Linked DNA regions of Oryctolagus cuniculus. The protein of the gene in region 1 interacts with the protein of each later gene in a pairwise test. Links are inferred from orthologs where the notes say so. Each region holds a gene or a part of one and is shown in the gene's direction. Other genes may lie near its edges. The genes, in order: ZMYND19, ENOX1, LZTS2, KCTD13, SAXO1, TNFAIP1 and NAB2.

The links.
Region 2: the proteins of ZMYND19 (region 1) and ENOX1 interact in binary tests that used the Homo sapiens proteins (3 or more experiments, as listed by UniProt). The two-hybrid records come from large-scale screens. The link is inferred for Oryctolagus cuniculus from reciprocal best matches to the Homo sapiens genes ZMYND19 and ENOX1.
Region 3: the proteins of ZMYND19 (region 1) and LZTS2 interact in binary tests that used the Homo sapiens proteins (3 or more experiments, as listed by UniProt). The two-hybrid records come from large-scale screens. The link is inferred for Oryctolagus cuniculus from reciprocal best matches to the Homo sapiens genes ZMYND19 and LZTS2.
Region 4: the proteins of ZMYND19 (region 1) and KCTD13 interact in binary tests that used the Homo sapiens proteins (3 or more experiments, as listed by UniProt). The two-hybrid records come from large-scale screens. The link is inferred for Oryctolagus cuniculus from reciprocal best matches to the Homo sapiens genes ZMYND19 and KCTD13.
Region 5: the proteins of ZMYND19 (region 1) and SAXO1 interact in binary tests that used the Homo sapiens proteins (3 or more experiments, as listed by UniProt). The two-hybrid records come from large-scale screens. The link is inferred for Oryctolagus cuniculus from reciprocal best matches to the Homo sapiens genes ZMYND19 and SAXO1.
Region 6: the proteins of ZMYND19 (region 1) and TNFAIP1 interact in binary tests that used the Homo sapiens proteins (3 or more experiments, as listed by UniProt). The two-hybrid records come from large-scale screens. The link is inferred for Oryctolagus cuniculus from reciprocal best matches to the Homo sapiens genes ZMYND19 and TNFAIP1.
Region 7: the proteins of ZMYND19 (region 1) and NAB2 interact in binary tests that used the Homo sapiens proteins (3 or more experiments, as listed by UniProt). The two-hybrid records come from large-scale screens. The link is inferred for Oryctolagus cuniculus from reciprocal best matches to the Homo sapiens genes ZMYND19 and NAB2.

The regions. Positions count from the first base shown.
Region 1 is NC_091432.1:237,722,169-237,726,143, reverse strand, and holds the start of ZMYND19 (zinc finger MYND domain-containing protein 19), read left to right. Parts: upstream 1-1,175; 5' UTR 1,176-1,393; coding exon 1,394-1,444; intron 1,445-1,771; exon of another isoform or gene 1,772-2,119; intron 2,120-2,545; coding exon 2,546-2,605; intron 2,606-3,501; coding exon 3,502-3,608; intron 3,609-3,975. UniProt on the Homo sapiens protein: May be involved as a regulatory molecule in GPR24/MCH-R1 signaling.
Region 2 is NC_091440.1:62,510,837-62,514,336, reverse strand, and holds part of ENOX1 (ecto-NOX disulfide-thiol exchanger 1), read left to right. Parts: exon of another isoform or gene 1-695; intron 696-1,449; exon of another isoform or gene 1,450-1,497; intron 1,498-1,794; coding exon 1,795-1,968; intron 1,969-3,184; coding exon 3,185-3,391; intron 3,392-3,500. UniProt on the Homo sapiens protein: Probably acts as a terminal oxidase of plasma electron transport from cytosolic NAD(P)H via hydroquinones to acceptors at the cell surface.
Region 3 is NC_091446.1:28,872,964-28,876,896, reverse strand, and holds the start of LZTS2 (leucine zipper putative tumor suppressor 2), read left to right. Parts: upstream 1-1,133; 5' UTR 1,134-1,378; intron 1,379-1,516; exon of another isoform or gene 1,517-2,241; 5' UTR 2,242-2,311; coding exon 2,312-2,362; intron 2,363-3,933. UniProt on the Homo sapiens protein: Negative regulator of katanin-mediated microtubule severing and release from the centrosome. Required for central spindle formation and the completion of cytokinesis.
Region 4 is NC_091450.1:7,313,463-7,316,472, reverse strand, and holds the end of KCTD13 (BTB/POZ domain-containing adapter for CUL3-mediated RhoA degradation protein 1), read left to right. Parts: intron 1-1,761; coding exon 1,762-1,998; 3' UTR 1,999-2,510; downstream 2,511-3,010. Other genes in the region: ASPHD1 (aspartate beta-hydroxylase domain-containing protein 1), read right to left, coding at 2,795-2,904. UniProt on the Homo sapiens protein: Substrate-specific adapter of a BCR (BTB-CUL3-RBX1) E3 ubiquitin-protein ligase complex required for synaptic transmission.
Region 5 is NC_091432.1:181,871,670-181,875,169, reverse strand, and holds part of SAXO1 (stabilizer of axonemal microtubules 1), read left to right. Parts: intron 1-518; coding exon 519-721; intron 722-3,500. UniProt on the Homo sapiens protein: May play a role in the regulation of cilium length. Stabilizes microtubules at low temperature.
Region 6 is NC_091448.1:43,886,713-43,890,670, forward strand, and holds the start of TNFAIP1 (BTB/POZ domain-containing adapter for CUL3-mediated RhoA degradation protein 2), read left to right. Parts: upstream 1-1,158; 5' UTR 1,159-1,360; intron 1,361-3,958. UniProt on the Homo sapiens protein: Substrate-specific adapter of a BCR (BTB-CUL3-RBX1) E3 ubiquitin-protein ligase complex involved in regulation of cytoskeleton structure.
Region 7 is NC_091442.1:59,719,386-59,723,650, forward strand, and holds the start of NAB2 (NGFI-A-binding protein 2), read left to right. Parts: upstream 1-1,465; 5' UTR 1,466-2,040; coding exon 2,041-2,123; intron 2,124-3,535; coding exon 3,536-4,265. UniProt on the Homo sapiens protein: Acts as a transcriptional repressor for zinc finger transcription factors EGR1 and EGR2. Isoform 2 lacks repression ability.

The DNA.
Region 1 (3,975 bases):
TTGCCAGCACCGTGATGACTCCCCCCCATCCTCGACTGCTCTTGAGACTTGGAGAAAAGAAACCACCCAAGTTCACCACACCTCACCAAGAGCTGCACTGTCTCATGCCACTGTATCTGTGGCGGCTTCCTAGGAAGGCTCACTCTCGCAGGTAACTCCCCAGGCCATGCAGAGGCGGCGGCTTGGCACACAGGGAGACCCTCCCCGGGGCCGCTGCCGGGCTGGGGCGGAGGAACGACCCTTCGCCCTCCCTGGATGCTGACTGCGCACCTGGGCGGAAAGGACGGGCGACCCACGCACACCCCGCGCCACCGGGCCGCCTGCAGCGCCTGGTCCGGCAGAGCCACACATAGACGATGCGGGCAGAGATCCCCACATTGCCCCCCTGCAAGGCTGGACTGGTGGCCCTGCCTCCCAGCCTCTCGCCCCTGGCAGGTTGAGGCACAGGGACCCAGATGTCACGAGGTTTTCTGAGAAAACAGCCTGCAAAGCAGAGCCCGGCACACGGGAAAGGGGGCTCCGCGGGGTGGCCTCTGCAGACCCCTCAATGCCCGGGGTCCCCGCCGGCTCCTCAGCCGGACACGCGCCGCCGTGGCCGCCCAGCTCGACCCCGCCCCGAGAGGCCGAGGCTTTCCGGAGGACACGCCGCGGGCGGCCCCGGCCGCGCCGTTCCAGCCGCCCCTCACCACTGGGGCCGCGCCCCATCTGAGTCCGGGAGCCGCGACCCGGGCCTCCCCGCGGGGCCGCGGGGCGGTCCAGGCCCGGGTGGCCGGCACCTTCGGGCTCCGGGGGGCTGGGCGCGGAGGCCTCCTCAGGCTGGTTCCTCAGAGGCTCGCAGCAGGTCGCCCGGCCGGGGGAGACGACGGCGAAGCGGACCCACGTGGACGCCACACAGCGGGGACCGCCCGGGCGAGGCGTAGCTGCCCGCACAAAGCTTCCCGCGAAACTGACGTCGGAGCCGGGCCCGCCGCGCAGGCGCCGCCCCCGGCCGCACCCCTCCCCCGCGCTCGCCCCGCTCCCCAGCGCGCCGGCGCACTCTCCTCTCCCCCATTGGTCGCTGCGCGGCGGCGCGCGCCAGCCGGCGCACGGCGCGCCTCGCGATTGGCTGGGCAGCGGCGGGCCGGGGGGTGTGTCCCGCGCCGCGCCCCGCCCCTCGGCTCGGCTCGCGGTGGTGCGCGCGGCGGCGACGGCGGCGGCGGCGGCGCGTGGCAGGTCCGGCGGGCGCGAGGTGGCGGCGACGGCGGCGGCGGCCCGAGCCCGGCCCAGCCTCGTCCCGCCCGGAGCCCGCCCGGCCCCGGCCCCGACCCCGGCCCGCCCGGGCGCGCCGTGGCCTCGCCTCGGCCCGGTGTCTCCCGAGGGAGCGGCGCTGCCGGCCGAGAGCGCAGGCCCGGCCATGACCGACTTCAAATTGGGCATCGTGCGGCTCGGCCGGGTGGCCGGGAAGGTGAGCGGCGCGGAGCCCGCGGCTGGGCCCGGCCCGCCCGCCCTGGCCTCTGCGCGGGGCCCGGGGCGGGGGCGGTTGTGCGGGCTGCGGCCAGGGCGGGGGCGCCGGCCCCGGAGGGGCGCCGGCGGGGCGGGGGCGCTGCGCGGGCCCGGCTGCGGGGCCTCGCTCCGGTGCAGGCCGCCTCTTGAAGTCGGTGGGGCGCGCCCCTTGCCGCCTTCGCCGGGGCCCGGTCTAGGACCAGGGCCGGAGATGCGCGCCCGTGCCCGGGCCGCGTTCGTCTGGCGCTCTCCCATGTGGGGCTTCCGAACTGGGCCCAGCCCGGCGCCAGGGCTGCACCTGCGGCCGCGCGGTTTGAACACGGCGCCCCTTCCAGGGCAGCGCCACCTCAGTCCTTCTTGCTAGGGGGTCTGATGGGGGCCTCTGAGCTTGCACTGAGCGTGGGCTTCCCCAGCGCAGGACAAGGAAGCCGGAACCCCGGTGTTGGTGAACTCGAGGGCTCCCTCGACTTCTCTCCCCTAGCCCGGCCTCCGCCCTCCACAGGCTGCAGGCGAGGCCTCTGGCACCAGTGGGCCTGGAGGCTTGGCTGTTTCCGCCTTGCAGCAGCCTGGGCCTTACCCTGATGGAAGCCTGGTCCCTATATCCAGGGACTGAGAGGCAGTCTGCATTCAAGTGAAGGTAAAACAGCTCCGATCCTAGGAGAGATCTCGCAGGAGTGAGGCTGGTGTTGTTGGGGGTGTCCCGGGCTCTCCCCTGGAGCTCTGGCCCTCTCCAGGCTGCATTAACGTCCCCAAATCTTTCATCCGGAACATTCCAGGCAGACTGAACTGGAAAAGGGTGATTGGGCGAGCACCTGTGCACCCCTTGCCCAGCTTAACAGACAAATTGAAACCTGGTGTGTACTCTGCCCCTGCTCCAGGGCAGCCCACTAGGTCTGGCCAGCTTTATCGGGGGCGGTCTTGTGTGGGAGGCCTTTGAAGCCAGGTGCCTCCTCCTGTGGCTTTGCTGTGTCTGCCGCACACGCAGTGCTGCAGAGCCAGGCCCCCTGGCTGTAATGAGGCGCAGACCCCAAGTGTAACGCTCTGTAATGTGGTTGATTTGCAGACCAAGTACACGCTGATAGATGAGCAAGACATCCCACTGGTGGAGAGCTACTCCTTCGAGGTAAGGGCGCAGATGGGGTGTTCCCGGGAGGGCCGAGCGGAGTGCAGGTGCTTGGGTCCAAGAGGCCCGGCACGTGGATGTCTGGTGCCAGCCGGTGGAGTCTCCGTGGCCTTTCTGACGCTGGCCTTGGCCGACCTGCACCCTCCCTGGTCGCTGGCTGCTGTTAAATCAACTTTTGTCCTGTTGCTGACAGGTGTCCCTAGTGCAGCTTACCCAGTCCTCTCCACGGTCCCAGGTGCTCTGTAAGGAACTTGCCTCCGACCTCTGCGAGTGGTCCCTGGTGCTCTGGCCACAGGGCCCCACAGTTCTGCAGGAGCTCCTTCTCCAGGGTGTCCCTTTCTCACGGGATCGTGGGGGGTTTTTATTGGTGGGAAATTGTCTCTGCGCCCATAGAACTTCACAAATAATTGCTTATGAGTGAGGGTTTTTTTTAAGGTTATTTAAAATTTATTTGAAAGGCAGCATTAGAAAGGGAGAGACAGAGACAGATCCTCCATCCTCTGGGCCAGGCTGAAGCCAGGAGCTTCTTGTGGGTCTCCCACGTGGGTGCAGGGACCCAAGCACTTGGGCCATCTTCTGCTACTTCCCCAGGCCATTAGCAGGGAGCTGGATCAGAAGTAGACCAGCCAGGACTAGAATCTGCGCTTCTATGGGATACTGGCCCCACAGGTGGTGGTTGAACTTGCCACGCACAGTGCCGGCCGCTAGTGTGAGCGTTTCTTGTGTGAGTGAAAGGTGGAGTGGTTGAGGGGGCATAGCTGGCCTCTGCATCCACAGACACCCAGGTCCCAGAAACGGGCTGGGCCCTGTCTTCCGGCTTTTTTGTTTCATTCGATTATTCTAAGAGGGATCTGGAAATTGGAGGATTTTACCAATCCTTTCCTTGTTCTTTTCAGGCCCGCATGGAAGTAGATGCAGACGGAAATGGTGCTAAGATATTCGCATACGCCTTTGACAAGAACCGAGGCAGGGGATCGGGCAGGCTCCTTCACGAGCTGCTGTGGTGGGTGTTCTCGCGCTGTGCTGGTCTCCCCCTCGGCCCTGTGTGACCCTCACCTTCCCCGAGTCAGTGGCCCGTTGTCTGTGCCTGGTGCCTCCTGTGGTACAGGAATGTGGACGACTGCCTTCCGCTTTGCCCAGCACTCCGTCCACAGACAAAGCGCCTCACGCCCCAGGACAGGCTCTGCGGGGGGGGGGGGGGGGGGTCCTGCGCTCTGCCCCGGCTCTCCTGGGGCGCCTCGGCGGGGTGTGAAGGGGCAGCTCACTGGGGAAGTTAACTGCCGCCTCGGTGTGCATGATGGGATGCTGGTGTCTGGGACCTCTCGCTGAGGAACTGTTTGTAGGCTGTCTGGGTCTGGTTCGGGGTATCG
Region 2 (3,500 bases), on another chromosome or scaffold:
CAGCGGGTCTCACCCCATCTGTCATTGTTGTTGGTCCTGATGGCCTCCACCAGCTTAGCCCGAGCCCCTTTGTTCTCCGAGTTCACCTGCATGAAGGCAACAAGGGTTCAGGTCTTCCTGTGGACCAGGCACACCAGCCCGGCCTTTCCCTTGATGGTACAGTGAGCGAGGGACCCCCCCCCCCCCATCTTCCGACACAGAGCGGGCGAGAGGGCAACCAACTCAGTGGGATCCGCATCGTGTGCAGTCACCACCAGCTGAGCCTTCTTATTCTCCACCAAGGTAGTGACAGTGCTGACACCCGCCCGGAGGACACGTGGGCTCTGGGTCCACTTTGACAGCAGCTTTCTTCTCAGCATGGGCCAGTGGCCTCTGCTTCCTCTCTCGCTTTGTCCCTGGTCTATACTTGTGGGCCAGCTTCAGCAGCTGGGTAGTCATCTGGCAGTGCATTGCCTGGGTGAACTGATTAATGGCAGGAGGCACCTGCAGGCACTGCAGCCAGATATAAATAGTGGGGCCATTTGACAAAACGGGTGAGGCCCCTCTTGGGCTGGATGTCCGGTCCAGCGGGAAAGTTCTCAGGCCTCTTCTCAAAGAGGATTTATCACCTCATCGGCCTCCTGCTTCTTCGTGACAGCAGGGCCCACGGCTGCCTTCTTTCCCTGGGCCTTCAAGCCTTTCAGTATCTTGGGCGGCTGGAGAAGAGAGAAAGGAAAGGGAATACGGCCGTATCTTTTTTATTTCATTGTGTTTGCGATATACCTAATAGTGAGATTGCTGGATCATATGGTAGTTCTGTTATTAATTTTTCAGAAACCCTTCATATTGCTTTTGCACAGTGGCTGCTGCACTAATTTATATTTCTACCAACAGTCTAGAAGGGTTGCCTCTACTCCACATCTTCACCAACACTTTTTATCTTTTTGGTACTAGAGGTCTTTTTTAAAGAAATAATAAATAAAGTCTTATATATTACCTTTGAAATTACTTGCTTCATTATAATATTTTAAAAAAACAGTATTTCTGCTGGAAAACCAATGCTTTCTACCCTCTTCCCAGTGCTGAATTTTTTAAATAAAAGGCATAAAAATTTCAGGAGGGTAGGCTAATTATTTGTTGATTGAATTATGGGAAGGAAATGTAATTATCCAAAAGAATTAAGAAATGTATATAGCTAATTTTATGCCTGCACATATCTAAGCCATAGTAATTATAATCGCTCTTTGTTTTTTGTTTTTTTTTTCATCCCCTGGGGGAAGTAGGTTAGGTAGGACCTGAATGCATGATTATAAAGTGTGCACATATAAATTAAACTTTGGCAAATGTAGGTCACTTGGGTAAGAAGACTCTTTTGATAAAACCAGGTTGACAATTAGATTCACAGGGCACTTCAATGTTAAATGCTGTTCTTCCCACATTCTGGGTCATAAGGCAGTGTAAACAACACACAAAGTGAAGAAGCAGAAGACTGCATTCACGGTAATAGGGAAGCTTCATGGTGCATGGTTTTACACTTTAATACATTGTGTTCTGTTCTGCCATGTTAATATTTTAAGTAATATAATTTCCTTTTCGTGTAGGTTTAGGTCCGTCCCTCCCTCCCTCCCTCTCTGTCTCTCTCTCTCTCTCTCTCTCCCCTTCTGAATTAATTTTCTGTAATGCTCTACCTTATGCCAGGAGCAATTCCTGAAAAACAGGAAATATCAAGTCAAGTAATTTTTTGCAGCAACAACAACAACAAAAAAACGGATTTAAGGTTCCCCAGCCAAAAATGTTAACTTGTGTGCTTTGCAGACTCAATCTGTGTCCCAGGCTTTGATCCAAGCCTCAACATGATGACTGGAATCACCCCCATCAACCCAATGATACCAGGACTGGGGCTGGTACCACCTCCTCCACCAACAGAGGTGGCTGTTGTCAAAGAAATCATCCATTGCAAGAGTTGTACTCTATTCCCTCAAAATCCAAGTAAGTATAACTCTCCTGAGAAAGGCTGGCTCAGAATTTTAGCTTCTTTTCTTTTTAAAAACAATTTTAAATAGTGTTGCATTCATTTTCAGATGTGGCTCACCCTTAGCTGTACAGAGTGAGGGTCCCTCTCTGTATAGCCCATCTCTGTTCTCTAGCTGAGAACACAGGTATGGGGACCTGTGCATATGTCTCCCTAGGAGCTGAATAATCCACACCAGGAAGCCAGCGCTTGGGATTTGGGGATACACAGCCAACGTTGAGAATATATTTACCAATAATGATGGCCAGCATTTGCTCGAGAATATAGTGTGAAATATATAAGCCATTCCACCCATCTTCACAAATGTAGGACACAAATTCTGAAATGTGTTTTTACTGGATAGAAAATTGAATTAATTTGGCAGTTGGCAATTTGGAGGCTGGGGCAACCTGCATCTCAGAGTTTCTGGACCAAATTGCCTTTGCTTGAAGGACACATATATTTGATGAAGTCCATGGGACAGAACTTTTTTTTTTTAATTTTTAGTCTCAGATAACTCAGTGTATGGGCTTACGTAGCTAGGAGGCTTTTTTTTTTATTGCTATTAATCAAGGGTCGCCTCTTTCAAGTGGACTTTTCAGGAGATTGCTTTAGTAATCTACATATAAACCAGGTGAAATGTTGTGACAATGTACAGTTTTATCTTTTTATGCAGCCACCCCCAAATTTAATAGTGCGTGCATTTAAATGTGAATAACGACAAAGTGTTTTTTCAGGCACAGTGTTTTCCCAGCCAAGTAAGTATTGTGCTTCTTCCCTGGGTTGCGCCTCCGCCTCCTGTGTTCTGCCTTGCAGCTCCTTTATCTGGCACCAAGACAAAGCCAAGAACGAGCTGAGGTTTTTCATCAGGTTGTCATTTCATCACGTTTTGTACTTGGTGGAAGTTTTCTCTCCTCCCCATCCCCCACCATTTCCTGGGCTTCTGTGTTAGGAAAGGGGCAATGAAATTGTGCGCCCATTTGCTCTCGTCTTTGTTCACAGACAAGCATAGGCGTGGAAATGCCCACAACTAGAGGTTGGGAGGAGAGGGAAGTCAAACGGAAAAGCCAGCCAGCCTGGGATATGAGGGAAGTTGGGGCAGCTGCCCCTGCGAGCGCGACTTTCGCCAGGTGAACCAAGGAAGGAGAGGCAACGCATGCCGCACAAAACCATCTGTTCTGTTGTGATTGCCAGATCTGCCCCCTCCGTCCACGAGGGAACGGCCTCCCGGCTGCAAGACGGTGTTTGTGGGAGGATTACCCGAAAACGCGACGGAGGAAATCATCCAGGAAGTCTTCGAGCAGTGCGGTGACATCACAGCGATTCGGAAGAGCAAGAAGAACTTCTGTCACATCCGCTTCGCAGAGGAATTCATGGTGGACAAAGCCATTTACCTCTCTGGTACTTTGCATTTCATCAGGGGTTTCTCTGGCATCTCCTTACTTGTGATGTTACTATGAATATGAGCTCATTCCCTTTTTGCCTTAGGGCACAATAAGGTCCTCCTAGT
Region 3 (3,933 bases), on another chromosome or scaffold:
GGGGGGGATGCTCCTTCCTGGGGCAGAGCCCAGCTCTGGCTGGCCTTGGCCCTGCGGGGGAGGGCTGCCGTCTGGGCGAGGGAGGCCGTCCTCGCCAAGGCCAGCGGGCATCAGCTGACCTGGCCAGGTCACAGAGACCCCTAAGGAAAGGTCTGTGTGATAGAGTGCATGCAAAACACGGTGTGCAGTATGAGAAGCTGTTTGTGAGTACTGCGAGGCTGTCAGCATGTGAAAGATGCTGGGAGGTGCGAGGGCCTGCGAGTTGTTGTGAAAGACTTAATGCACAACCGGTGTGACGCGGGGCTGCGCGGGAGCTGGCCTGGGAGTGCATGGAAGGAGGCCTGGGGGACCACGTGACGGATGAAGCTCTGCGATTGCGGCTGCCCGAGACTGAATGTGGGAAAGGTCGTGTGGGTGTTAAGATGTTGTTTCCAAGAGGGTGAGCATATGCGTGACCCTGAGGAGACCGTGGAATGTTGTCTGGTGGGAAGCTGGTGTAGGCTTGGGCTGTGCCTTTCCACTGGGGAGGCCAGAAGCCGCCCTTCCCCGGGCAATGACCCTTCTCTTAGCCAGCGACTCCAAGGGAAAGTTGGGGAGTCCAGAGCCGCGCCAAGGGCAGGCCTGGGCTGGCGTCCACGGGCACGGGCTGTGGAGTGGGAGAAGACCCCCCTGGGTCGGGGGGCGAGTAGATGTGCTCTGAGAACCGACCGCCAGGTGGCGCCGCCTCCGCAGATCCTCGTGTACCGCCTCCAGCCCGCTGTGGGGTGGGCCAGGCAGGGACCTGGCCGCGGCCCCCGACTAGTGCTGGGGCGCAGGGCCCCGGCAGCCGAGGAGCGGCGGGCAGCTGACCCTCGGCTTCCCGCTCTGGACTCTGAAGCTGGAGAGTGTCTGGGGCGGGCTTCGATTAGAGAAGCGAGGGGGAGGGGCCGCCGCGCCGCGCCTTGGCCCTTTGTGCTCGAACAATGACCAGCTGCCGCTGGCCCCGGGGCCCGGCTCTGGTAGGGGGTGACCCGCCCGCCGAATCCACAGCCGACCGAGCCGTCCGACACGCAGTCACCGAGACTCGGCGGGAGGGGTCCCGCTCGCCGCCGCGCAGCCCCTGCGTGCGCCCCAGCAGACACGCGTGACGTGGGGTGCCTGCGCGTGTCCGCGCCCCGGGGCGGGGACGCCCCTCGGACCCCTCCCCCGCGCCGCCCCGCGCCGCGCCGCCCACTCGGGCCGGGAGGGGACTGGCCCGGGCCGGGTGCGCCGCCGAGGCGGAGGCGGGGCCCGGCCGGGTCGGGCCGCTCCGAGTGGCCGCGCGCGGGCCGGAGCCGGGCGGCGCGCCTGTGGAGCGCTTGGGGCGGCCCGGGGCTGAGCATGGAGCAGCGCGGCGGAGGTGAGGGGGAGGCCGGGGCCGGGAGGAGACCCGGGGTCGCCCCCAACTTCTGTGCGGCGGCGTCGGGAGGGGAGGCGGCGTTCGGCGGCCGCCGTGCTGGTGGGGGGGGGGGGTCGTCGGCTGAGTGGGGGTGGGCGGGGGGAGGGGTCCCGGCTTCCTGCCTCGGAATGGGAACTCGGATCCCAGACTTGAGCCTGCGTGACTGTTCTTGGAGTTGAGGTGGGAGGGCGACTTTCCCGAACTCCTCAGCCCCCAAAACAGGTCTGCGCGAGCTCGGAGCGCGGCCAGAGCCGTCGCTGGCCCTGGCTGAGCCCCAGCCCTCAGCCCTCCGTCCTGCCCACCGCGGCGATTACTCGGGAGAGCGAGGGGTTCCCTTTGCCCACAGCCACGGCGCATTTCTCAAAATGGAGCCTCGGCTTGCCCCTCCTTCTCAGTCGGGCTCTGAGAGCGGGAGTCCTACTGGCTGGGCCTGGCTGGCCGGCTTTCGTCGCTCTGGGTCTGGGGGGCCTTGGCCTCTTGCGGTTCCGGGGCCTGGCGCCATGGGCCGGCCTGCCTGGCTTCCTTGGCCGCCTGACCCCCGCGCCTCCCTGAGCCTTTGTCTCGGCCTTTGGCTCTTTCTCCGAGTGGGCCCATCGCCTTCCTTCAGTTTTCACTTTTCTCTGTGCTCCCTGAAGAGGAGAAATGCGGACAGAAATGCCAGCCCGCATGGCCCCCTTAGCAGCCCCTTCCCCCGTCCTGTCCGTGCCTTACGTGGCCCTGCAGAGGGAGGAGGAGGCTCCCGGGTGCCCGCGTTGCCCAGGGCTGGAGCTTGGGGTGCTGTCAGGCCCCAGCCCTGCAGCCAGGCCCACCATTGCTCCCAGCAGCTCCTCCGGCAGTCTGGACTGACACCGACCTGGTTCTTGGTGTCTTTTCACTTGGGTAGAGAGGAAAGGGATGAACTCGATGGAACACAAGCAAGAAAGAAGGGGAACAGCTCGGACAAAGGTGGTTCCCCCTCTCCCCACACTCCAGAGTGAAAACTGGCGGGTTCCCTCGCACTCCCCGGTGCCCGACATGCCTGCCCTCAGAGCCTTCTCTGTGGGTAACCCGGCTCTGGCCGGCCTGCTGTGCACACACAGGAGTTCGCGGGGGGGAACCCATGTCCTGGGTTCCTCTTCAGCATCTCAGCACACTCACCTGTTACCTGTGCATTTACTACTCCTGCGTACTTGCATGGTGACCCTTAATTACACACGCATACGTGTGAGGTTCACACGTTAGTTCACACCTAGACGGGTGTATGTATTGAACATGTCCAAACACACACTCATGTTTTCACACGCATTATTCCTGGCACGCAGTGCTCACTCTGCTGCCCCTGGGCATAAAGGCGGCCATGAAGACCTGTACACGCACACATTCCTACTCCCAGGAAGTTTTCTGTCCGCCTCCTTGGCCTGCACGTTCTGCATGATGATTTCGGCAGATGCCAGAGCCCTGGTGCTCTGCGGCCTCGGGACCGGAGGGAGTTCCCCAGGGAGGCTTGCTCTCCCCTTCCAGGAAGGAGCAGAGCCCGGGGAGGTGGTGAGGTCTTGGAGCAGCTGCCAGAAGTGATGGTGGGGCTTCCGCCTCCATCGGGGTTTCTCTGGAGATGGCGGAAGCTGGAAGCTTCTGATAGAGGTTGGAGTCGGGCAGCGCCCATGAAGGCTCCTTTAGGCCCCATGTCACACCCTGACTGGGTATGGAGAGGGTAGGGGTTGTCATAGAAACAAGCAAGTGCCTGCATCACCTCCAGGAGGCAGGTGTGTGTGCCCTGAGAGCTGTGGACTGCCTGTTTGGCCAGCTCCACCCTTGCCGCCTCTCTGTCTGGGAGAAACTGAGGCCCAATAGGGGGAGGTGGGGCGCTGCTTGGCCTTGGCTCTTTGTTCCCTAATTATTGTCTGAGTTGCTGGTGGTGTCCTTGAGGTTGTCGCTGCCCAAACTGCCCTGTAACGAGGCCACCTGTCCCAGGAGACTGGGGACCTGGGCCAGGTGCTGGGAGAGAGGGCTTCTTGCCTAACCTGAGTCCTGGTCTCCGTGGGGCTGCAGGTCTGGGTCTGGGCCTCCACTGCCAGGTGGCCCTGTGCAGGCTTCCGATCCCTTCATCTCTGCCTGGTGGCCCTGTGCAGACCAGGGAGCAGTGGTCTGGGGCCCAGAGAGAAATGAGATTCGTGCCAGTACTTGGAAGAGGAGCCTTGGGGGGGGGGGGGGGTCAGGGCGTTGTTACTCATGTCAGGAAGGCGTTTGGCCTGGATCAGGGGACAGCACAGGGACTCAAGGCCTTGTATAGGGAGAGGGTATAGGATGCTGGGATTCTTTTTGTTTTGTTTTGTTTTGACAGGCAGAGTGGACAGTGAGAGAGAGACAGAGAGAAAGGTCTTCCCTTGCCGTTGGTTTACCCTCCAATGGCCACCACGGCCGGCGCACTGCGCCTATCCGAAGGCAGGAGCCAGGTGCTTCTCCTGGTCTCCCATGGGGTGCAGGGCCCAAGCACTTGGGCCATCCTCCACTGCACTCCCAGGCCACAGCAGAGAGCT
Region 4 (3,010 bases), on another chromosome or scaffold:
TGCCACACTGCTGGCCTCTTCTTCCTCATCCCTGTGCCTAAAGGACACGTATTTCATTTTTAGGCCCAAGATGACCAGCACTTTCTTTGTGACACTTTCCCTCATGAACTTTCTTTAAAAAAAAAAAAAGAATTATACGTAAATATATATTTTATTTTATTTTATTTTTTTGACAGGCAGAGTGGACAGTGAGAGAGAGAGACAGAAAGGTCTTCCTTTTGCCGTTGGTTCACCCTCCAATGGCTGCCGTGGCCAGCACGCTGCAGCCGGCGCACCGCGCTGATCTGATGGCAGGAGCCAGGTACTTATCCTGGTCTCCCATGGGGTGCAGGGCCCAAGTACTTGGGCCATCCTCCACTGCACTCCCTGGCCACAGCAGAGAGCTGGTCTGGAAGAGGGGCAACCGGGACAGAATCCGGCGCCCCAACTGGGACTAGAACCCGGTGTGCCAGCGCTGCAAGGCAGAGGATTAGCCTAGTGAGCCGCAGTGCCGGCCAAGAATTATATATAAATATATAAATTGGAGAGGCAGAGAGCTGCCATCCACTAGTTTATTCCCCAAATGCCCACTATAACAGGCTGGGCCAGGCCAGAAGATAAACCAATCGTAAGAGTGCATCTTGATTAGGACATGCCCACTACAACAGAGGCTGGGCGGGGCTGGAAGATTAACCAGTCATGAGAGTGCATCTTGATTAAGAGCTGTGGTGGTTCCCGCCTTCCAAGGCCAGGCATCCTCTTGGCTTCATCCTTTCTGCTCTGCCTCCATCCCAGTGGCACTGGCCTGGCTGACCCTCGCTCCTGACCCAGAGCTTTCACATTTGCCCCTCCCCAGACAGACCACCTCCTCTGGCTGTCCACCCAGGTGGACGGCACCTCAGGGAGGCCTTCCTGAACTGCCTGACATGGTGAGCCTCCTGGCTGTGGCCAGCCTCACCTGCCTCCTCTCCCAGCGTCTGTCATCATCCGACTCAGTTTACGTTTTCGTAAGTGTACGAGGCTACCTCAGAAAGTTTGTGGAGAAGTGGGATTACGAGATAAGTTTATTTTGGTGCCAAAGCATTTTGAAGTGCATGTGGTGTCTTTCATTACATGTATTTTCCACGGACTTTTTGAAGACCCTCATATGTGTGAGTCTCCCCACTAGAACGTAAACTCCCTGTGGGCAGGGGCTTTGTCCCCAGGGTGCAGAGGGGGCCCCGGGACAGCGCGGTCCTTGGGTGAGTATTTGCCACATGAGGAGACAAGGCCGCGGAGGAGCGGAAACAGTCACTCTGCCTGGCTGCAGAGCTGGGCCTTGAAGCAGGACTTTGCTGAGTAAAGACGTCACAGGGGCCAGCGCTGGGACGTAGTGGGGAAAGCCGCCACCTGCGACACAGGCATCCTATGTGAGCGCCAGCTGGAGCCCCGGCTGCTCCACTTCCCATCCAGCTCCCTGCTACCAGCCTGAGAGATGCAGTGGACGACGACCCAAGTCCTTGGGCCCCTGCACCCACGTGGGAGGCCGAGTCGAAGCTCCTGGCTTCCAGCTGGCCCAGCCCAGCCATTGCAGCTGGCTGGGGAGAGAACTGGCGAGTGGAAGCTTGCTCGCTTGCTCTCTCTCTCTCTCTCCTTCTCTCTCTGTAACTCGGCCTTACAAATAAATAAGTAAATCTTAAAAAAATGAAGAAGGTGCAGAGACATCCAGGCCAGTGCAGGAGCCGCCAGGGCTGGGGGCTGGCTCTGTGCTGCTGGACCATGGCGGGTTGTGACCTTGCACAGGTGGAATTCCCAGAGGCCCGGATCTTTGAAGAGACCCTGAACATTCTGATCTACGAGACTCCCCGAGGCCCAGACCCTGCCCTCCTGGAAGCCACAGGAGGTGCGGCTGGAGGAGGTCGGGCAGGCCGAGGGGAGGACGAAGAGAACCGGGAGCACCGCGTCCGCAGGATCCACGTGCGGCGCCACATCACCCACGACGAGCGTCCTCACGGCCAGCAGATTGTGTTCAAGGACTGACCTTTGACCCTGCCCCGCCTTCCTGCCTCCCCACCCCAGCCCCTCCCTTTTTCCCTCCCCTTCCCAGACCTTTGCCCCGACTCTGCTGGCCAAGTCGTGGGTCTCCCCTTCACCGCATGTTCAGGTCACCGTGGCCCTTCTCCACCCGTTCCCATGCACTGCTGACACCACGGGGCGCCCCGTCCCCTCAGCAGAGCCCTCCCGCACTGAGGGCTGTCACCCATCCCACCGTTCCCGGCCTCGCCCTGCCGTCTTTGCCTGGCGGCTGGTTTTGAACGATTCCGAATCCCCTTTGTGTTTTTTTAGCATGTAGCCCACGCTCAAGTGTCAAGACAGACCTTGGCGACGGCCACCACCCCGGGAGCCCCCACCCCCTCCTTCCCCTGCCGTCCCCCCTGCCCCGTAACTGTGGACTAGGCTGGCTTGGGCCTGGGCCAGCTCAGCCATCTTCTCGATCTGTTTCGTATTATTTATTATTTAAATTTTCTATTAAATTATTGGAATACAGTTGAGTAGCGGTGTGGTGCTGGCTCCCAGCAGAGGCACAGGGAGGCGGCCTGTGTTAAGGAGACACCTGACTGGTTCTGCAGGGGAGGACGGGCCCCTGCCCTGAGCCCTGTAGCCGGGAAGGAAGTAGTCGGCACACCGGAGAGGATCCAGAAGGTCTATTTCGGTGCCCACGCCACCTCCCTCAGCCTCCGCCCTCCCCCAGCCCCCCGGTCCCACGCTGGCCATCGCTCTGGCTGGCCCTCAGTGCGGCGTCTCCAGCTCAGATGTCCGCAGGGGAAGACAGCACTCAGGGGTCTGGTGCGAACACATAGTCCAGGGCCTGGCGCTCGGCCCCAGCCACATTGGGGTGCCAGAGGTCCACGATGAAGACCACTCGAGGCCCATCTTCGGGGGAGCCTAGGGCATGGGGGGACGGACGGAGAGCAGCACTCACCACACACGGGAGGGGGCGCGTGGGCAGGAAGTGTGAGGCCTCTCTCTAACCCTTTGCATGCGTTGACTG
Region 5 (3,500 bases), about 56 Mb from region 1:
TAGGGTGGTGGGAGATGAGGGTGGGCAGTAAGGTAGAGGCCAGGTCCAGGAGAGTTTACAAATCATTCTAGGAGATCGAGTGTTATCTGGGATATTTGTAAGCTGGGGAACAAAATGATCCCGTTTTCATTTAGACAGTTTGGCCATACTATGGTGGTTGAAGTAGAAATGGTGGGAGAGAAAGCAGGGAGCTTGCACAGTAGGCTGTCACATGATCTAGGGCCTAAACTAAAGGGGACAGAACAACTCATGAGGTGGAGGAGGCCACACCTGGTGAATGAGTGACAGACTCTGGACTGTGAGAGAGGGTTTCCAGGATGACATCCAAGAGTCTGATTTGGTGAGAAGGGAATAGTGGTACCATTCTAGAAAGTGGGAGGTAGACGAGGAAAAGCAGTGAGTGGGGGCAGAGAAGATGTTGACTTCTCAGCAAATGTTTTAGGATTGGGTTGGGATGGAAAACACAAGCCTCATTCCAAGCCAAGGACTCCAACAATATGTATTTGTTTTCCTTCCAGAAGAGACTTTGGGCCTCACAAAGTGGTACCAGTGAAGGTCCACCAGCCCGAACAGTTCATCCCCAGTGAAGAGAATATGGATTTGCTCACAACATACAAACAAGATTACAACCCCTACCCTGTCTGTCGAGTGGACCCCATTAAACCTCGGGATAATAAATACCCGTGTGGTGACAAGATGGAGTGTCTGCCTACTTATAAAGGTGGGAGAACGCTTGAGAAGTGGGCTGGGGAAAGGATAGGCTGAATTGTAGACAGATCAGGAAGTATGTTTTGTATGTTCTCTTGGTGCAGGGGTCAGCAAACTCCTTCATGAAAGCCAAATCCAGCCAACAGATTGCTTTTATATGGGTCGAGAGCTAAGCATGGTTTTAAAATTTTCAAATGTTTGCCAAAAAATATATATTACTTTAAGACATGTGAAAATTACATGGAATTCAAAGTTCAGTGTTTACAAGTACATTTTATTGGAATACAGTGCATGTTATCGCTGGCAAAACTGAGTAGTTTGACAAAGACCCTATGGTCTGTAAGGCTATAGGTACTTAGTATCTAGCCTTTTACAGAAAATATTTTCTGACCCCTGCCTTAGTTCACTGTTTGAATCATATGCATTGGGGAAGTACTTCAAGTTTTAGGTGAGCTAGATTCTACTGATTCAATGACTGATTCACGCATTCACTTAGAACAATATTGAAATGTAATATACAGGAATGTATATAAATCATAGTGGTACAGGCCAATGAATTTTGGCTGAATACACCCTTATAAATAGCACCCAGATCAAGAAAATAGCATCACTACTCCCTTTCAGCCACCTTTCTCAACTGGAATATAACCATAATGCTGATTTTTAATACTTCAAAATAATTTTGCCAGTTTTGTAACATATTTTAAGTGAATTGACATAGTTTTACTTTTGACATCATTATACTTATTTATGTGTTATAATGTGTTATTTTCATACATGTGTATGTTATATTTTGTTCAAATCATGGCCCACATTTACCTCCTCAAATATTTGTTATTGCTTTGTCATGAAACATTCAAAATCTGTTTTTGAAAATTTAAAAAAATTGCATAATTATTTTTCGTTGATTATCTATTACATACCAGGCATGTGCCTAGGAACTGTGAACTGTCCTAGGCCCTCTAGTCCAGTGGGAGAGAAGGGCAGTGGAGTCCTATGGTTGGGCTACCAGTATAACAGCAGATACCCCTGAGAGCCTGGCCCCAAGATGGAGATCAGAGAATGGAGGCCAAGCTTGTCATCTGTAATGCCTCTGTTTATGATGCACACTGTTGCTCTAGGAAGACAAGTTTCAACAGTTAATTTATGTGAAACATCGGTGTACCTCTGAATGATCTTGGTGGACCTCTATCATAAGGGTTATGTTTAGTTAAGCATTTACTAATGAGGTAGGCTGGCAGCAGAGGTGGCGAAGGCTGGAGACATGTGGGAAATTTTGCTTGGAGGAGTTCTGAGCCTACCATTCTGGTGGGCCCTGCTCATATTGGAGATTCAGGGCTGTTACTAGTATAGACCTCTATGGCAATCTCCACTCTGGCCTTTTACTTTCTTACCCTAGTGTGCTCCTCTCCTAGTCATCCATAGCCACCTTCTGAAAGACAACCCTCTGGACATTCTACCCTGAAATTATCCCACCTCTGAAGACTTTGTGTACCCCAACATCCGGTCCCTCTGACTTAGTCTCTGATCTGCTTCCATCACAACAGTTCTTGGCCTTGTTGTATCCCCTAATCTGTTGGTGCCCAACCTTCTCTCCTGTGCCTGTTCTTTCCATGTAGCCTATTCCATGTTAGATCATTGCAGCTCATCTGTCACTAATGCCCTAAACTCCCTCTACCTTCCATACTTTTGTTGTTTCCCGCTGGCCAAGTCCTAGTCTTGCCTTCTTGAAGTGTACTCCTTGACATACACTTGAGCATATCTACAATCTTATCAACTAATCTTCTGTGCTTGAAACTCCTCAAATAAGCATTGTAGTATTTAGGATCAAATCCCAATCCTTACTAACTTCTAAAGCCTTGTAGGTTCTGGATTCTCCATCCCGAGCTCCTCTGCTCCAGCCTTAGGGCCTCCATTCAGTTCCCTTCCTCCATATCTTTTCTGCTTCAGGATTTTTAGCGTTGGGATTCCTTCTGCATAGATCTCTCCTGCTTTCTGTGTGTCACTTGTCCTTTAGCTAGCAGCCAAAACATCACATCGGCAGAGGCCTTCCAGGATCTCCCCTCAAGCCAGTTCAGGTGCTTAGAGCACCGTTAGAGCACCTTATCGATCCTGGAAGGACTATCCCCTGTCATCATCATTGAATAATTTGTTTTGCTTAACATTTATCTCACTGGTCAGACTATCAGCCTCAAGGGGTCAAGGATCTTCCATTCCCCAGCCCCAAGCCAATTAAATTGTCTATACTTGTGGAAACCACACACCCTTTAACCTCTATGAAATGTTGGCTTCCAAAATTGTGCCCTAATGGAAAGCCAAGACACTCTGGCGAAAAAAAAAAAAAAAAAAAAAAAAAAAAAAAAAAAAAAGAGAGAGAGAGAGAGACCTAAATGAAAGATCTCTGCAAGTGAGATCCCAGTGGAAAGAACGGGGCCATCAAAGAAGGAGGTACCTTTCTCTGAAGGGAGGAGAGAACTTCCACTTTGACTATGACCCTGTCGGAAAAAGATTGAAGTCGGCGAACCCAAAAGGCTTCCATAGCCTTGGCAACTCATGACTAGAGCCTAAGGAGATTACTGATGCCATAAACAAGAGTGTCAAATTGTTAAGTCAACAACAGGAGTCACTGTGTACTTACTGCTCATGTGGGATCTGTCCTTAATGTGTTGTCCAATGTGAAGTAATGCTATAACTAGTACTGAAACAGTATTTTACACTTTGTGTTTCTGTATGGGTGCAAACTGATGAAATCTTTACTTAATAAATACTAAATCAATCTTCTGTATATAAAG
Region 6 (3,958 bases), on another chromosome or scaffold:
GCACCCGTGTGGGAGACCTGGAAGAAGCTCCTGGCTCCGGATCGGCGCAGCTCCGGCCGTTGCAGTCATCTGGGGAGTGAACCAGCAGATGGAAGACCCCTCTCTCTGTTTGTAACTCTACCTCTCAAATAAATCTTAAAAATAAATAAAAAACCACTCTGCCTCAGAAGACCAGGAAGGCGAGCACACCTACTGTGTTCATCACTGCAACCCTAGCACCCAGCACGGTGCCTGCACAGTCGGCACTCCGTGGACATCTGTGGGATGACCAGTGGCTGTGCAAGCAGCCGGAGGCCACTACAGCAGCCCAGCACCTGGAGGCCGGCGTTCTGGGTTGAGATGTTTCTGTAAGTCGATTTGCTAGGACTTAGAGGGGCTTGACTGGAGGAGGGGATGAGTGAAGCGGTCGGGCATGAATCCCTTGCACCTGGGAGGGGTAGCTGAATGAGTCACCTGAGACGGGAGAAGGGTTGAAGGAGAGGCTTCCCAGCTGCCCATCAGATTCCATCCCAATTCCCACTACACGCGGCGGAGCGCCGGGGTGAGGGCGGAAACGCCTCACCACGATCCATGCTTGGCATCAGGCACAGGCCCCGTTCCTGGGGTTGGAGGAAGCACGAGGCTGAGTCCGGAGGGCCTGACACTGTCTTTACTGCGCAAACCCGTTGGATTTACACGAGTCCCCGCTTCCTAAGACCACGCTCAAGCTCCAGGCCCAACCTGAGTGTGAAACGCTCGCGAAGGGACGGGCGGAATTCCTAAGTTTCTTTCAGCCTGGAACAGCCTTTCCTCAACAGCGGGTCTGTCCAGTTCCTCTAGACCCAGCTGCCCCCGACCCGAGGTCACGACCTACCTGCCCACCCGTAGCGGTGGTGCGCTGCGGCCCAGGCTGATGTTGACAGGCAGCTCCTCTCGGCGGTGGGCAGCAGTCAGTGCCTGGCCGGCTCGCCTCTCCTCAGCCGCTGCCACGGCTACAAAACCTGTTTATCCACAACGTCACTTCCGGACACCGGAAGCACTCACACCCGTTCATCCTACAGGGCCTGCTGGGAAACAGAGGCCCGAAGGGAAGGATGACTGCCTACAAGATCCAGAGGCCTTTGCGCCTGCAGGGCTACCGGAAGTGGCTATGCTCTTGCCCGGAAGATCCTCCGGGAATTTCCGCCTCCCCTCCCTGTTAGAGTGCTGTGCATGCCGGGCTTTGTAGTCTCAGGCTTATGGCCCGCTGCTCCGGGAGGAGTCGACCGGCGCAGGATGTGAGCTCACAGCTCGGGATTGCTGGCGGGCAGGCAGCCACAGGTCAGAGACGGCACGGAGTTCGCTCGCCCCCCAGCTGAGAGGAGAGGAGCCCCCGGCGACGGTGAGAGTCGGGCCTCGGCTGGAGCAAAGACTGCCCGCCGGGTCCTGGGAAGCAGGGGTGGGACGGCGCAGCGGAGATGCAGAGCTGGTCTCGGTTCCTTGGTAGTGAGGGGGGCGGGCTGGGCAAGAGCCTACGCTGGCCACGGGAGAGGCTGGCCGTGGCCGAATTTCTCCAGGACCTTGCAGCCTAAGCCTCACACCTAGGATTTCTGCTGGGTCCACCCTCTATAGCCAAGATCAGCTCACGGCTTCCCCAACACCCACCCGCCCCCGGCCCCCCGTGCGTGACGGGTTTCTAGATCCTTCTTCCTTTGGGATCCAACCGCGGTCCACCGCTTTGGTTGTCTGCCTTTTGTTCGCAGAGTGGGAAATGGATCCGCCCCTAGCCCCAGGCATCCCCAAATACCCACAAAGTCCGGAAGGAAGAGTATTGAGTGGAAACTTCATTGTCGCTGGAATTACTTTCTGGGGCGGCACCTGCCGCAGGATTCCTGGAACTCATTGGTCTGAATGGAATCTGAGCTGACGTCAGCCAGGAACAGTTGCTTTGCAGGAAAGGAATAGATTAGCTGTGGATTTGTCTTCCTCTCCTGGCAAACCGCAGGCTTTCAGTACCTTTGCTTTGGGAGAAAATGCATGTGTTTTCTTTGACCTTGTTAAAAACTTTTCCTGGGTGGACTGATTGGTTTGGAGTCGGTGGGAGGTTAGGTCATCCGCTGTCCCAGTGGAGGTCTCGGCAGACTCCTGTTGAGGGCTTTTCTCATCCACACCGCATGCCTGCACAGTTCATCACTTCACAGGACACCCACTCTGGCCCTTTTGGGACATTCTTCCCAGGGACCTGCCTAAATCTTTTCAGGGACAATTTCAATCTGACGAACTGCCATGGACTTCAAAAGGTTCGTGGGAAGTCAAATTAAGAAAAATTTATTTTGGTGGAGAAAACATCTTGAAATCCATGTATAAAAGTGCAGGCCAGTGTGCAGAAAGACCGCGTGCGGAGTGGAGCGGCACAACTGGGGACACCAGTGCCATTTGTGGGCTGCACTTGGCGAGGCACACCGTCAGCTCCCGCGTGTGAGCATGGAGGGAGAGGATTCTGCCTTTTCTCTGCCTCTGTTCCCCCTGTGCTCCAAGTCTTCACCACTTTATGCCTGCACTACTGCTTCCTCTGGTCCTCCCACGGCCTCTGCACCCTTACAATCCATTCTCTACACCGCACCCAGAAGTATGGTTGCGATTATCTCACTCACCTGCTTAGAACCCTCCAGTGGATTCCTGCACTGCACTGCACTTGAAATAAAGCCCCAGCTCTTGGGCACCAGCTAGTACCCGCCTGCCTGCCTGCCACGGAACCAGAGTCAGTGCCAACTCCTATTTTCCTTTTTAAGTTCGTTAACATGAGGATGCTTAATTGAACTCCTTGAAAGCAAAGACTGTATTTTTCATTGTTCCCTACTGTTTCACAGGGTTGGCAGTCAGTAGTTTCACTGCTAAATGAATTAAATAATATACATTAAATGCCTAGAATAGTGCGTGGCACATGAAAACGCGCCTTAAGAGTCAGCTATGACATTCTCTTTAGATGAATTTTAGCGCTTCTCTAGGAAGCCAGAAGCATAATGTGGACTTGCAGTCGCGAGGGTGACTGGGTGGCTCCCTCCGCTCCTCCCGCCTGAGAGCTCCTGTTAGTGCTTTAATTTATACATCATGGCTGGCACCGCAGCTCACTAGGCTAATCCTCCACCTAGCGGCGCCGGCATACCGGGTTCTAGTCCCGGTCGGGGTGCCGGATTCTTTCCCGGTTGCCCCTCTTCCAGGCCAGCTCTCTGCTGTGGCCCGGGAGGGCAGTGGAGGATGGCCCAGGTGCTTGGGCCCTGCACCCCATGGGAGACCAGGAGAAGCACCTGGCTCCTGCCTTTGGATCAGCGCGGTGCACCGGCCGCAGCGCACCAGCCGTGGCGGCCATTGGAGGGTGAACCAACAGCAAAGGAAGACCTTTCTCTTTGTCTCTCTCACTATCCACTCTGTCAAAAAAAAAAAAAAAAAAAGAATTTATACATCATTTAATTGCTTTCAGATCTGTCATCTGATGTTCTGGTTCTGCCTCCTCATTCTTGGTGGAAAGCTTGAGAGGACGAGATAGGGCTGGGCTCCCACTTAGGAAAAAGAAGTGAAAATAGACGTCCTGTATTTGTTCTGCCCTGGCCAGTGGTGACAATTTCAGGAACTTGGAGCATTGCCAAGAAAAGGGACGGTCAGGAAATCCAAGTGGAACCTAGGTGACACTGCCGAAGACCCTGGCTAGGTCCCCCAGTCTGACTCACTCCATTGTCTCCTGAAGCTGCTTTTACTTTCCTTTCAAAACTCCAGGTGACGCTAAAGCAAGCACGGGCCCAGGACGCTCCTGCACCTGGTATCTCTAGAAAGGAAGTCCACCCTGTCCCTGTGGCTCCTGGGAAAGTCCTAGTTTGGCTGATGCCCAGCAGGTTTGGCTGGAAGTCTGGGTTCCTAGTTACCCTAAGAGAATAAATGGAATTCTGACTGGTAGATGCCCAGCAGGGGCTGTTCCTCAGGCCTAGGGCTGGCTTGTCTTCTT
Region 7 (4,265 bases), on another chromosome or scaffold:
TCACGCCCTGCTCCGCCCCCCACCCTCGGGCGGGCGTCTCCCTGCGGAGAGCAGGGCTCAGCGCCGCCCCGAGGGCGCCGGGTGGGAGGGAGGGGGGCGCGGGGAGCAGAGGCTGCGTGGGCGGAGGATGTGCGTCACGGGGAGCGTGGGCAGGGGGAGGGAGGGGGCACGTGGAAACCCGGGGCCAGCGACTGGCAGCCCAGGCTCCAAAATAACCCGACGGGGGTGGGGGAGGGGCGCCCACCCGCCGCTGAGCGGGGTCGGACAGTGCCCCCCGGCGGGAGCCGGTCTGGCCGCGCCCTCCCGCTGAGGGACTGGACGAGGGGGACTCCGCTGCTTCCCGCCGCCCCCACCGCGTCTGGAGCTTCCTGGGATGGAGAAGACAATCTGAACTACTGAAATCCCGCCACCAACAAGGCCACCCCTCCTTCCCTGCCCCCACCAGAGACAGCAAGGTCCCCTGGCCAGGCCGGAATGTAGAACCAGCCCCGGCCCACGCCACCCACCCCCCGGCTTGGCCACTCAGAAGCGCGGAATGGCGGGGCGGGGCTGAGGCTTCGCACCAGGAGTACCCTCGCCTTCGGCCAGTCTGCTCGCTTCCCGCCGCCCCCACCTCAGTTCCCCTGGGCTTAGAGCCGCTGGGCCAGGCCCTCGGAGCCCCCGCCTGCACACCTCCCCCCCTCCCCACCACCCTCCGAGCCGTGGGCGGGAGAGAAATGGGAACCAGATGGGCTAGGAGAAACCCAGGGGGAGGTGGGCTGCGGAGGGGGCTCGGCCCCGGGGAAGGCGCCCCTCCGGCCGCAGCCAGACACTTCGGGAGCACCCGGTCTCTGCTCGCCGCCCGGACTCATAGGTGTCCCAGAACGGTATCCTTATCCTACCTGGGACACACAGCGGCCGAGGAGCAGGGCCCCGTCCTGGTGCAATGGGCGGCGGCGAGCAGAGGAAAGCGGGGCGCACCCTCCCCCCCCCCCCCGCCGCCGCCGCCCCTGCTGGCCGGACTAACCAACCTGGCGCGGCAGAGCCGCGCACGCCGAATTGGTGGCTTCTAGCATGGCCCGCCCATCCCTGTTTAAAACTTCAGCAACGACCCGAGGCCGGCAGAGATGGAGGCGGCCCGGGTCTCCGAGAGCGGCCCCTTCCAATCTTTTCGTTTGAGGGCAGGGGAAGGGCTGGGATACCCAAGGGATCCTATAGCGCAAGACTGCTGGAGGAGAGGCACGCGCTGGAGGAGCCGCGCGCCCTGAGCCCTTCGCCAACTTTCGCCGGCTGGCTCTCCGCATCCGCACGTACGGCAGCGCGAGGCCTGCGTGCGGGTAGCGGGCGTCCGCGCGGTTGTTGAGGCGCGTGTGCAGTCCTTGCGCTTCCCCGTGTCTTTGTGTACCTGTGCGTGGTTGTGCAACTCCTCTCTCCTCTCGGAGAGGTAGGGGTGGCGGGGGGGTGGGGGGGAGTAGGAATGTCGCCGGCGGGGCGCTCACGTGGGTACGTGGGTGCGGAGAGGGCCGGCTGTGCATCCGGCGTGGGCGGCATGGAGCGACCTCGCCCCGCCCGCCGGGCCCCCAAGCCCGCCCTCCGCAGCCCGGCCTCGGTCACCTCGGTCCCCAACTCGGCTCCCCGGCTCCGAGTTCCCGCCCCCGCCTCCCGCTCCACACCCCCTCCCCCCCAGTCTCCGCCTTTCTCTGTCTCTCCGCCGCGGCGTCTCGGAGACCGAGAGGCCCGGGCGCCCGCCCCCCGCCCCCGGCCCCAGCCCCCGGCTCTGCCCACGCCCTCCGCCCGCCAGCCCGGCAGCCAGCGCAGCGCGGGGCCTCGCTCCCCGTGCGTCCTGCGGGGGTGGAGGCGCTGAGAGGCGGCGAGAGCAGCCGGGGAGGGGGGGTAGAGGCACAGACTGAGGCGCGGAGGCTCGGAGAGAGAGGACGTGGAGGGAGGGACGGAGCCTGGACAGCGGTGGACACGGCATCGCGCGCAGGGAAGAGCGCAGCGCGCAGCAGGCGCCGAGCGCCGGGCATCCGGAGGGGCAGCCTGGGTGGTCTCCGGCCGTCCATGCACAGAGCGCCCTCCCCCACAGCTGAGCAGCCGCCGGGCGGAGGGGACAGCGCCCGCCGGACCCCGCAGCCCAGACTCAAGTTAGTGGGCAGAGGGAGACAGCGGGGAGTGGAGATGGGTGGAGCTGGACTGGGAGTGGGGTCCGGAGGGCGGAGGTCGCGGCGAGGACGTGGGGAACCGGGACGGGGGTGGGAGGTGGAGACTGATGAAAAAAGGGGGTGCGTCTTCGAATGAAGGGACCCTGGGAGCAGCCGAGGATCCGCTGCAACTTGATGTGAAAGAGCGGCACCTGATTCTCCATTCCCAGTTTATTCGGTGGGCCTGAACTGGCGTGTGAGCCCCCTGTAAAGACTGTGGGAGTCCGCAAGTGCCAGGAGAAGCCCAAGGACTGGAGTTGGCAACAGTACCCGGTGGGGCGCATTCAGCCGGCTCAGTCTGCAGCTGGCGCCGAGCGCTGCCCCCCCCCCGGGGGGGGTCCCGCACACGTCGGCGCCTTTCAGTTACGGGAATAGCAGCAAAGCCCTGAGCAGCCAGGGGGTGCCTTCGGCGTCCTTTGCCCCTGCTGCCCCTTCGTTCACAGCGTGAAGAGGGGCGTCTGGGTGTGCAGCCGCTCCCCCACTCCACTTGAAAGTGTGGGTGGAAATTAAGGGAGGCGAGAGTAGGCGGGAGCCCCTAGGCGGGGTTCGCCCACAGACGCTACCGCTGTGGGAGTGTGTGTGGGCGGATTGGCCCCAGAGCAGAACAATCGAGCTCCCCTCCCCTCCCCCACCGTCTGAGCTGAAGGGACAGAGGGGAGTGAGTGGGGAAGGTCACTGCTTGGAGAGGGGCCAGCGGGGCGCGAGGGGAGGTTACTGGGCAGCATGGGAGGGCGGAGGGGGCGGGGTGGAGAGCTAAGGTGCATCAGGAGTGCCTGATCCCTGGGCTAGCTGAGGGGCACAGGAGCAGGGGTCAGCCTGGCTCCTAGTGGGAAGACCAGGGAAGGGGACACACCCCTCCCTCCCAGCCACCCTGGTAGAATGCCCCCAAGGGAGTGCAGGTGGCTCGCAGTGGTCCCCAGTGTCCACTGTGGGAAGGATGAGTGGGACATTCCCCTTAGTGTGTGATGTCACTTGTGTTGAGGTGTTTAGGGTGGAAGGTGAGGGCCAAGTGTTTTGGGGGAGAGAGGGAGGGCCAGCCATCCCAGGGGTGTGCCTAAGGTCTTCTTACCCCTGCCAGAAAGGGCAAAGCTGAGGATGGGGTGGGGGTGGGGGCGGTGAGCCTTTGACTCCCGCCAACAAGGCCCTGGCTTTGGGTGCTTCTGGCTAGTGTGGGATGTAGTGGCATGTCAATGCCTCCGAGTAGTGCCCAAGTCTCAGAGTCTGTGCTCAGTGCTGGGCGCTGCTGGGCAGAGGGAGAGAAGAAACCGACGGAGAGAGAGAACAATTGTTAGTGTGGGTTGGTACCCAGCCGGGGGCCTTGCACTCACTGTTTCTCTCACGCCCCTCCTTCTCAGGCCCAGTGCCCGAGCCATGGCACTGCCTCGGACGCTGGGGGAGCTGCAGCTGTACCGGGTCCTGCAGCGGGCCAATCTCCTCTCCTACTATGAGACGTTCATCCAGCAGGGAGGGGACGACGTGCAGCAGCTGTGTGAGGCCGGCGAGGAGGAGTTCCTGGAGATCATGGCACTTGTGGGCATGGCCACCAAGCCCCTCCACGTGCGGCGCCTGCAGAAGGCACTGAGAGAGTGGGCCACCAATCCAGGGCTCTTCAGCCAGCCGGTGCCTGCCGTGCCTGTCTCCAGCATCCCGCTCTTCAAGATCTCCGAGACTGCGGGTACCCGGAAGGGCAGCATGAGCAATGGACACAGCAGCCCAGGAGAGAAGGCGGGCGGTGCCCGCAGTTTCAGCCCCAAGAGCCCCCTTGAACTTGGAGAGAAGCTGTCGCCACTGCCGGGGGGTCCTGGAACGGGGGACCCCCGGATCTGGCCGGGCCGGAGCACTCCAGAATCAGACGTTGGGGCGGGAGGGGAAGAAGAGGCTGGCTCACCTCCCTTCTCCCCACCTGCAGGGGGAGGAGTCCCTGAGGGGACTGGGGCCGTGGGTCTGGCAGCGGGTGGGACTGGGGGGAGTCCAGACCGCCTAGAGCCAGAGATGGTGCGCATGGTGGTGGAGAGCGTGGAGAGGATCTTCCGGAGCTTCCCCAGGGGGGACACCGGGGAGGTCACGTCGCTGCTGAAGCTGAAT